Rattus norvegicus: one gene and its partners. The protein of the gene in region 1 interacts with the protein of each later gene in a pairwise test. Links are inferred from orthologs where the notes say so. Each region holds a gene or a part of one and is shown in the gene's direction. Other genes may lie near its edges.

Region 1 (3,751 bases):
ACATACACAGCCCAGAAAGGTGGCATTGGGGGATCTCAAATGACTCTGCTGTGATCTATTTTCACTGTGGCAGAGATGAGGCTCCTGGTGTCAACTTTGGCAAGCGCAGTTACTAAGGAGCCTACAAGAGCTCTCCTTTCCAGAGCAGACCTGTGGCCCCTGACTTCCTGTACAATGGCCCCCAAGCTTCTTTAATCGGAAAGAAGCGCACCAGTACCAAGATTTTAAGTGCTGAGGTCTAGTACTTTGAAATTAATACCCACAAAAGCACGGTGCCCAAACCTTACCGACTGCCTCTTTTTTTTTTTCAAGTGAGACTTAAGACATGTTTAAGATAAAAGTCGATCAAAACTGTCTCAAGCCCAAGTGCTGGTGGCAAATGCCATCACCAAAGCACTCAAGAGGCAGAGGTGGGCAGATCTCGGTGAGTTTGAGTCCAGCCTGATCTACAGGCCTCCCAAAGCTACTCACAAAGAAAACCCTGCTCAAAAAACTGTCTCAAATACGTTAGGGAGTGGTTCATGAATAGTTAATATGCCTGGTACCCCGATCTCCAAACTCCCAACAGCTCCTTTCCCCTACCTTTGTCACTAGCCCCAATATCTTAAAGTGGCCAGTTCAAAGTCAGGTGCTATAACTGCAAGCAGAATACACAAGTCACTTTCTCCTCGCGCCCCTTTTTATCCCTTCCTCCGAATATCTCCTAGTCTAGAAACCTTATTTCTAACCGCTGGATTCTAGTTGCGACGGGACAAGGCCTCAAGGACAGAAAGAGGTACCGAGAAAAAGAAGGTCCAACAACTCTTGGCGGGTTCTTGGGATGAAGTGCTTGCTTTGCCAAATTGTTATGCCTGGGAAGGGAGAACCCGCACTCGGGTGTCCCCTGATCCACACAACCCCAGGACATCTTGGTCAGCCCTCGAGGAACCGAGAACCTCGGTCAAAATCCCCCTCCCCGGGCCATTACAGGCTCACAGACACCTTCACGACCCCACAGCCCCCCCCCCGCAGAAGCCCTTCAAGTCCTACCACGTCACTCCCATGGCGAAGGGTCAAAAGGTGGTACTGCCAAATACTCAAACTCAGAGAATCCAGACCTTCCCACGAGAGGCAGCCCCCTAAACACAGGAAGCGGTCGTTGACCGGCCTCCGGAAATGCGTAAATACTGAGCGCCAGGACGACACGCCCACAGGGAGAGGCATCTCTGGATACACCAGCGGTGACATTTCTAGTACGTCATCGACCCGGCTCCGCCCCCAAAACATACAAGGGGTTGACAACACGCCCTAGGCTACTTTCATGAATTCTGGAAAAGGTGACTCGAACATCCACCTCTTTCAGTGAGATTATCTGAGAATTTGGAGACTCCTGCTCCAAGCCCCGAAGCTCTTCTAGAGATGGCGATATATGAGGAACTTCCGGCCTCCGAACGCTGGGGGGCACTGTGATGCCTCAGTGACCTCTTGGAGACCGGAATACAAGGCGCAAGCGCAGTCTCGTCTCTTAGCCGGCTTCACACGTGTAAACTTTGTGGGCAAGTTTTTCGACAAAAATGCCCAAATTAAAGGTGACACGTGGGGCCAGAAATCAAGAGAGACATGCACCTCTGGCGGAGCAGATTCTGGCTGGGGACGCAGTGCGTGCGGGGACCCGAGAAAAACGGCGGAGACACGGGGTCGAAGAGGAGGAAGAGTATGTGGGACCCCGGTTGAGCAGACGGATTTTGCAACAAGCCCGGCAGCAGCAGGAGGAGCTCGAGACTGAACACGCGACTGGAGATCGGCCGGCAAAACCGCGAGAGCGCGCCACGCGGCTGGGTGAGTGACAAGGGGTGGAGTGGTGAGTTGGGCCGGTCTGATACTCTCCATCGGAATACTGGGTTAGAATTAAAAAGAGTAGGCGGCTTAACTTTCCCGCGTGGTCCTTCACTTCCACTCCTGGGTTTCGGGATCCAGACTTAAGCCAACAGAATGTGATCTCTCACACCAGTTCTAGCATTTATTTATTCTCTGTGCGTTTGAAGTATCTGTGGGCTGCCTGCATAGTGCTTTGAGCTGTGTTAAGTTTTTAGGCAGTTCTGATCCAGAAATAAGATCTTCATCACTCCTGATGGCACCGGAAGTGTAGCTCAAGGCACACATTAAATAGATAATTAGAGTAATATATTCCAGGCAGGAGTGGCGATGCTCACCTGTAATGCCAGCACTCCAGAAGCAAGGCAGAAGGCCTCCTTGAGTACATAGTAAATTCCAGATTAACCTCGACTACATTACATGATAGAACCCTATCTCTCAAGAGAGGGGGAAAGATATTTCTGTTTAAACAAAAACAGATGGACATTAATTCTGTATGGTGGGTATCCCAGGTTTCACGTCCTTCTAGTAAGATCTGAAAAGCAAGTGGGAAGTGTTCCAGTGATGAGGGAGGGGAACGAGTATTGTTCAGAAGCTAAAAGTGGGGTGGGATGGGTGGGTAGATGCTTGGTAATCTGTCTCACTGGGGAGGAACTGTCGTTGACCTCCAGTTGCTTAATCTTCCATTCCCATCTGTCCTAAAAGCAGTGTTTGAATGTGGCTTTAGGGCTACAGCAGCTTTTCTGAAGTAAGGGCTCAAGGAGCCCAGGCTGGCCTCAAACTCTGTAGGGGAGGATGACCTTAAACTCCTGATCTTGCCTCTGTTTTCCATGTGGCATTATAGGTGGTTGGCACCACGCCTGCCCTTAAAAACATTTTGTAACTGAGACTGGGTCTCCTTCAGTTGTTCAAGCTGGACTTGAACTTGCCGTGACCAAGGCAGGCCTTGAGCTTATAGATCCTTCCGTGATGCTGTCAGCAAATTTCACTCTGAAGCCATCTGTTTGATGGCTGCTTCCAGATTTTTCTCCCACGTACGTAGTTCGTCCAAGAGGCTCACATCTTTATTTCCAGTGGTCTTCCTGACAGCTCCAAGTTGAAGACTGGTAGCTGTCGATAGTTGAATGTGTCCACACAGAAGTTCTGACTTCCTTCCCAAACCTGCTCTCTGTTGGCTACACAGAGTTTGTTAGCATGTTAGCCTTCCACTGCTCAAGGCACAATCCAGTGTTCTCTTTCTCACTTCACAGTAAATCCTGATGGTTGTGTCTTTAGAATATATCCAGAGCCAGACCACTTTCCATTAACTTGGAACGCCTCCTGTTTTAGCTACCACAGTCTCCCCTGAATCACTGGGAGAGCATCATAATTTGTATTCTGTAACCTCTGTGGTCCATTCAACAGCTAGAGATCAACAGAATCCTATCTAATCTGCCTCTGTTTCAGGTCTAATCACAAAGTAAGGAGGGGATAAGATAATTCAGCTGGTAAGGAACATGACTTGAGACTCTTGACTTCCACCTACAACAGCTTGTAGTCCCACAGTGTTGAAGACAGATCTCTTGGACCCACTGGGCAACCAGTGTAGCCTAATCAGCTAACCCCAGGTCCCAGCCAGACCCTGGTTCAAAAACAAGGTCATCAGCTCCCGAGAAATAATAGTCAAGATTCCCCTCTGGCCTCTATGATGCAAGGGTTCACTCATATATAAAAAACTAACAACAGCAACAACAAAACACCCCACAAGTGTCAGCATCTGTCTCCTAACCTCTTTTATTCCCCTACTTATCTCATAGCACTTGTCTTCTTTTATTTAACATGTATTTTGTGTGCGTGTCATGATGTGTGTAGAGAACAGAGGAAAACTCTTGAGAATTGGTCCTCAGCTTTTCAGAAC
Region 2 (3,751 bases), on another chromosome or scaffold:
ACTAGCAACTTTCTCTCCACTTGGGGAGGAGAAAGCAAACATCTACTGACAGAATGTTGAATTATTTCATCACTCTTTTCTCCGAGATCTGATGGAACCCTTCCTAAGCAATTACACTTAAAATCTGATTTGCTTAAGGTACCGCAAAATACGTGAGCAAAAACATGGGGGATGGAGATGTGCTCATAGAACACTTGGTGGGGCGTTCACCCAGCATGCAGGAAGCTCTGGCTGGGTTCGATCTTCAGCATCATATAAATAGAACATGCCCGTCACTAGTGAAGTGCAGTTCAAGTTGGACAAGAGGCTGGGCTACATAAAACAAACAACAACAACAAAAAAACCACCTTCAGTTTATTGGTTTTCATCTTAAAAAATAAGCAGTCATCAGAGATTCAGAATACATTACGTCAAATGCCCCTAAAACCAAGAGTCGTAGGGTCTGTGATAAGATACTGCTGGGAATTGTTGATCAAAAGATGTAAAATGAAGACTCTGGAGATGTTAGGCTCTGCCTATTAGAGTTCCGCCTTGGTTGAACATAAGCAACTGATTTCCCTTAGGTCAAGAAGTCAGGGAAGTGACTACTTTCCTTCCATGAACCTGCACAGGCTTGGTCTTGTTTTTATTTGTTTTTGTCTTGTTTGTTCTCAGTTAAGAATAGGTGTGGAATATCTTCAGTGATAACGTTACATTCATCAGCCCGGTGTAGGGACGGGACATTTGCCTTCAGGTAGAACTCCAGTTAGGTAGGCTACTCCCAACCTGCACCGACTCCAGCCAGAAAAGCCCCGCCCACTGAGAGAGAGAGTCCTGCTAGCCCCACCTCCCGGAAGTTCCCGGGAACGTTCCTTCACCGCGGGCTCACGCAACTTCCGGCTGCAGTCTAGCGGCTCCTCGGCGATTGGCTCTTTGCCATGCCATCGTGTGACGTGCTGTCCTAGACCTGTCTACCCACGTGTAGAGCTGCCGGGAGATACCGGCGAGTCGCGGTTCGGCTTTCGCGGTTCCGGAAAGGGAGTCCCTGCCTCATCATGGTGAGAAAACCGCGGTGCTCCGGGAGGGAGCCGGCGGGTTCCGGTTATGTCTGTTCGCCGCTCCCTGCGGCTGGCTTAGGCCACTGGCCGCGCGGCTTGGTGCCCCGAAACCAGTCACTATCCCGGCACCAGTCATCTTCGTCACCCCGGGTGCACTTCGGAAGGAGAAAGATGGTTTCCCTTTTGCAAAATCCCGGGCGTTTACGGTCCTGACGGCTTAGGTTAACTCCGTCCCTGTGATACAAGCCCCGCCCCCTGCTTCCGGGGTCCACTTCAGCCACCTGGTTAGCATCTCGGTTTCCAGACCCAGAGTTGAAGAACACCTAAGAATGTGGAGTAAATAGTCTAAACCTTGCTTGTCTGTTAGATGAAGTGTCGGCCAACTTTTCGGGGACCTCAGAGCACCCACTACAAAAGACTTTAGGCATTTGAACTTAACCCTGTTTGACTTTCCTTCACTAAGGTCATTTGTCCTTACTCATTTGCTTGTTAAGAACGGAGAGCCTCTTAGACTGTCCCACTGCCATATTCCCAACACCTTTGAACAAGTGTCTCAGAGTAGGTAGGGTACCTAGCCAGTGTTTGGTGGAGAAGGTAAATATGGATCCTTCAGGAGGCAGGGACTGCTGTCTGGCTTAGATGTGCAAATTCGACATATCTGTTCACCCTTCACATGCTTACTAAATATTCCTCTGGCAGTAGAATTGCCCACTTTAGCGGCCCTTCCTGATTATTTTGTAGCCTCACAGAAAGAAAAAGCCCTTTATAGAGAAGAAGAAAGCTGTGTCTTTTCACCTGGTCCACCGGAGCCAGAGAGACCCCTTGGCAGCAGATGAAACCGCACCGCAGAGAGTTCTGGTGCCTACACAAAAGGTAGGTCCTGTCCTGTGGCCACTAAGTTTTTAGGTGAATAGTAGTTTTGTAGTCCTGAAAAGTGGAACCCAGGGGACTTAGGCATGTCAGGCAAGCACTTTACCCCTGAACTATATGCCCCCAGAGTTTAATAATGAGTTGATACTCTCAGAAGTTGGTCCTCTTAAAAAAAAAAAAACTGAGCCGTGACTTGGTTTCCAATCTTTGCGCTGATGTTTGATGTTGTGTATTTGTCTTGATTGACAGGATAGAGCATCTAGGCTGTCTGTGGTGGTGTGCTCCATCTCTTGCTTTCTCTTGGGGTTCTGCTGTGTTACAGTAGTCTTCCATTTGTATTCCTGCCCCGAGTCACTCATCTCACGAAACACAAAGCATTTGAGCCCATGAATTAGCTTCGGACGTCCCAAAGGGGCCTTGAAGAAGCTGGTTTATGCTAGCGTTACGCTTGTTGAAGATGGCTCATATAAAGGTCTTGGGGGACGCTAGAAAGATGGGTCAGTGTTTTAAGCACTTGCTGCTCTTGCAGAGGACCCAGGTTCAGTTCCCAGCACCCGTCTGTACAGTCACAACCATCTGTAACATCTGCTGGAGGGGGATCTCATACTCCAGTCTGTCCTAGCCACACATGTAGTCCAAACACTCATTTAAAAATGTAAGACGTGTTTTAAGGATTGGGGGGGGGGGGGCATTGGCCTGCACTTAGCTTTTCCTTAAAGCCACCCCTTACACCACTGAAAAGCTTTCTTTGGGTCTAAGTACAAGAAACTATGCTTACTGTCAAAGTCTCCAGATTGTTTCTCATAATCCTCCAGTGACATTTTTTGAGTGTGTGCTACTTATATTTCTCACCTGGAGTTGTCATGCAGAACTGCCTGGTTGAGAGAGCTGTTCTCGTTCTTGTCATGTGGATGTGCTCCTGTTTCACTTGGTCTTTGAAACAAGGTCGTCTGCATTTTTCAGGCCTGTCTTATAACTGTGGGTTCTGATGGTCTGCCTCAGCCTGGCTTGTTGTCATTTCATTATAATTTTATGTAGCGCTCTGGTTTGGACTCTCCGTAGTTTGGGTATTTATCAAGAATTAGTGATTCCTGTCGGCCAGTATTCACGTGCTGTCTACCTCCTGAAAGTTACACGGATCCTGACTCGTGGCAGGACAACTGATGCCATCTTGTTGTCCAAGGTAAATGATGAGGAAAGGCGAGCAGAGCAGAGGAAGTACGGCGTGTTCTTCGATGATGACTACGACTACTTGCAACACCTGAGGGAGCCATCCGGCCCCGCAGAGCTTATTCCCAGCTCCACCCCCAGCACCTACTCCAGCCGTGGGGAAGAAGACACCTCGGTGTTCCCGGTAAGCTTTAAATGTAAAACCGTGCAACACCGAGGAGACACCTCGTTTCCAAGTCAGTACCTTTGGGGCGGTAAATGGTGTTGGTGTGAAGAGCGTAGTCTCTGCCTACTGTTACAGACGCGTGTATATCTGCACCATTGGGTATGGGCCACTTCTCCAGGAGCTGTTAGCAAGATTAACAGCCTTCTGTCAGGTTCAGAGCTTGGCCTCATGGCAGGCAGCATTTTCCATAGAAGAAAAACAGAGGACATTCTGTATCCTGATGCTGTTTTGTGATCATAAACAGTCGAGGGTGTGGAGTTTTTAGATCTGTGACACCTTTGTGAACACTGCAAGGGAGCCTTAGAGAGCAGCACGCACAGGTGGTAATGGAGTAATTTAATCCCCTCAGCAGGGCTGCAGGCCGTTTTACTGCCTTCACCCTTTAAACACAAACAGGCGCACTCACTTGTGCCTGGTGCTGCTCGTGGAGGTCCCCCTGGTGCCTGCT
Region 3 (3,428 bases), on another chromosome or scaffold:
GCTCTGTCATTCTGTCTGTCTGCTTCTGTCCATCTGTCAGCCTCTGTCCATCTGTCTGTCTCTGTCATCTGTCTCTTATCTGTCTCTGTTTATTGGTCCCACTTTCTATCTGTCTCTGTTCATCTCTCTGTCTGTCCACCTGCCCATCAGTCCATCTATCTGTACTTCTGTCTGCCCTGTCCTGTCTCTGTTCATCTGCCTTTTCTTCTGTCTGTCCATCTATAATTCTGTCTGTCTATCTCTGTCTGTCTGTCTATCTGTCTCAGTCCATCCACCTGTTCATAGTCCATCTATATGTCCATTTGTCCTGTCTTTCTGTCTGTCTTTGTCCGTCTGACCATCTGTCTGTCCAACTGTCTTGTCTATTTTCATCTGTCTGTCTCTGTCTTTCTGTCTTTGTCCATCTTTCTACCTATCTCTCTGTCTCTGTCCATCTGTCCATCGGTCCATCTGTCCATCCCGTCTTCCTGTATGGCTCTGTTCAATTGTTTGTCCCCCTATGTTTCCATCCATCTGTCTCTTCACCATGTGTCTGTTCATCCATCTTTCTGTCTGTAGGCATGTCTGTCCATTTGCCTGCCTATCTGTCTGTCTCTGTCTGTTCATCTGTTTCAGTCCTTCATCCATTTGTTTGTCTGTCTGTAAATGTCAGAAAAGGATGTTGGATCCCCTAGAGCTAGAGTTCCATGTGGTTGTGAGCCACCTAATATAGGTGCTGGGGACCAGAATCAGAACCTCTGAAAAATAGTGTGTACTCTAAGTAAGCCATTTCTCCAACCCTCTCAAAGATATTTTTACAACTTTAAAGTACAGTAGAAAATATAATCAGAAACACAGTTATGAATTACACAATTTCTGGTGAGAGGGAGTGTCAATTAAACTTGTGGCACTTTGAATCATCCTATGTTTCAATTTTGATTTTTGTACTTACTGTTAGTGTGAAATTAATTAGTAACGATGAAATAATCATTACTGAGCATTACATACCAGCAATTGTGATAGGAATTTAAGATGAAATTTTCTTTTACTCTTTAACTTGGGGATATAGAGACTATAACTGTTCAGATAAGACACTGAGATTGAATGATGATAAAGGACTTAACTTCATATGTGGAAATCATTCTCCCTGCTTGCCTTTGCCAAAGTACGTTCAAAGCCATGGACAAATGGAAAATATGATAGCAACTGCAAAATTTAAAGTCTGTTGAAAGGATAAGCCTATACAAAGTCATGATGTCCAGTGTGGTAGCCATGCTCCCTATACAAAGCCATTTAAATAAACTTATTTCAATTTCAAATTCATTACAACTAGATATGGGGGCTTAAGTCCTACCACTCAGAAAGCTGAAAAGAGAAAGGTTGCAAGAGTTTGAGGCCTGTCTGGGCCACAATGTGAAACTATGTTTAAAATAAAGAGATGACAGATAGATAGATAGATAGATAGATAGATAGATAGATAGATAGAGAGGTGCTTTCATACTTACACTATGTCTATACCCTGACAATCTCAAAGATGACTGAAAATGTCATAATTGAAAAATAAATATATTTCTGACATTTATCCTCCTGAATGTCATAGCTCAACTTGGCCTGCAATGAATATTCTCAGATTATTTACATTAATTAGCCTTAAGTAAGGATAACTCCTTTATCACAAATTCTTACATCTTGATTATTTTATATCTTTTATTGTCTTCAGTACATTGTAGTGTATGGTATCAGATGTTTCCTCTTATTGTGCTTAATGTCATATAAAAGTACAGCATCGGGATTGGGGGTTTAGCTCAGTGGTAGAGCACTTGCCTAGGAAGTGCAAGGCCCTGGGTTCGGTCCCCAGCTCCGAAAAAAAGAACCAAAAAAAAAAAAAAGTACAGCATCATGTATCACAAGCTCAGGAGACAATCAAAACCCAAAGGATGATTTTGTAGATAGTACATTGCTTTAATAAGGTTTCTTTATAAAATCTTAAGCCAAGGCATTCTAAATTATGGATTGTCTGTAAATTTAAAGTTGATTTCACAGGCTCCCCAGTCACAGTTCCAAGGCCCAATAGCCATATGTGCTTCAGACAACTGTACTGAACAGAAAAAAAAAAAAAGAAAAAAACACTTCAATTATTATAGAAAGATCTAAGCTAATCAGTACTGGTCCAGAAAATTTTACTGCACAGACATTTACAAAAGATAAACAGCAGTAAGAGGGAAAGTCAAATTTCTCTGGTAACATAAAACAGGAAGGTAGGCCAATACACTGGTCACCTTCCACCTCTATGTGTTTGGGAAGGACAAAGATATATATTTAGATTTAAATACTCACTTAAAGAGAGTGTGATCATGAGTAACAAATGATCACATTTTTAAAAAAATCAAAAAACCCTGTAGACCTCAGAGCAAATTTTACTTACATGCAATGTGGGTTTTTTGTTTGTTTGTTTGTTTGTTTTTGTTTTCCTTTTTTTTTTTTTTGTCCCTGCAGGTATGCCATTGGCCTTGCGTACAAATCAGCTCCAAAACATGAATGGATTGGGAAGAATTCTGCTTCCTGGGCCCTTTGCCGCTGCAACAATAACTGGGTGGTGAGACATAACAGCAAGGAAATACCCATTGAACCAGCCCCCCACCCCCGGCGTGTAGGCATCCTGCTGGACTATGATAATGGCTCAATCGCTTTTTATGATGCTTTGAACTCCATCCACCTCTATACCTTCGATGTGGCGCTTGCGCAGCCTGTGTGCCCCACCTTTACTGTGTGGAACAAGTGTTTGACGATTATAACTGGTCTTCCCATCCCAGACCATTTGGACTGTACAGAACAGCTACCTTGAGCATCTGGCCCCAGAGCAGCCCCAAGGAATTACAGAGGTTGAGGATGTTGTTTATGGGATTGAGAAACTAAGGCTTCAAGAGTGTGATGAAATATTCCCCAACTTGTCCAGAAACCAGCTCAGATAGGGCTCCACATGGAAGATTTCCCTCCTTTTCCTGTGTTTCGTATTAAGTACAGGCTTTAATAATTTCTTTACTTTTTTGTATTTAGAGGAAAATCTATAGATTATTTATAAAAGAAGCATAATCTGGATTACAGCTGTTAGGAATCACTTGGTTTTGTCCAATAAGAGGCCCGTAAGTTTACCAGTCCTTTACCAGTTTCATTTCATCAGTCTATGAGCCTGTAAAAAATTTTTTGTAGATTTGTGTGGTTTTTTTTCACTTTCTTACATTCTACTCCATACTGAGGCCATGCTAGGTACTGTCACTTAGAACAACTGAATATATGGCTAAAATAAAAGTAATTTTGATCCTTGTAAGGAAGTACAGGTTCCTTTACTCTTTTAGTCAAGATATTTTAACTGTGATATCAGATCACTTGTACTGGATCAAATAGAATGAGAAAAAATCGAGAAGGAAAGAATTAACTTTGGACCTCAA

The links.
Region 2: the proteins of Bysl (region 1) and Ltv1 interact in binary tests that used the Homo sapiens proteins (3 or more experiments, as listed by UniProt). The two-hybrid records come from large-scale screens. The link is inferred for Rattus norvegicus from reciprocal best matches to the Homo sapiens genes BYSL and LTV1.
Region 3: the proteins of Bysl (region 1) and Mid1 interact in binary tests that used the Homo sapiens proteins (3 or more experiments, as listed by UniProt). The two-hybrid records come from large-scale screens. The link is inferred for Rattus norvegicus from reciprocal best matches to the Homo sapiens genes BYSL and MID1.

What each region holds. Positions count from the first base shown.
Region 1 is NC_086027.1:20,878,856-20,882,606, forward strand, and holds the start of Bysl (bystin), read left to right. Parts: upstream 1-1,485; 5' UTR 1,486-1,553; coding exon 1,554-1,818; intron 1,819-3,751. Other genes in the region: Med20 (mediator of RNA polymerase II transcription subunit 20), read right to left, coding at 1,030-1,043. UniProt on the Homo sapiens protein: Required for processing of 20S pre-rRNA precursor and biogenesis of 40S ribosomal subunits. May be required for trophinin-dependent regulation of cell adhesion during implantation of human embryos.
Region 2 is NC_086019.1:9,395,823-9,399,573, reverse strand, and holds the start of Ltv1 (protein LTV1 homolog), read left to right. Parts: upstream 1-1,016; 5' UTR 1,017-1,034; coding exon 1,035-1,037; intron 1,038-1,778; coding exon 1,779-1,910; intron 1,911-3,090; coding exon 3,091-3,261; intron 3,262-3,751. UniProt on the Homo sapiens protein: Essential for ribosome biogenesis.
Region 3 is NC_086039.1:27,681,289-27,684,716, reverse strand, and holds the end of Mid1 (E3 ubiquitin-protein ligase Midline-1), read left to right. Parts: intron 1-2,475; coding exon 2,476-2,824; 3' UTR 2,825-2,850; downstream 2,851-3,428. UniProt on the Homo sapiens protein: Has E3 ubiquitin ligase activity towards IGBP1, promoting its monoubiquitination, which results in deprotection of the catalytic subunit of protein phosphatase PP2A, and its subsequent degradation by polyubiquitination.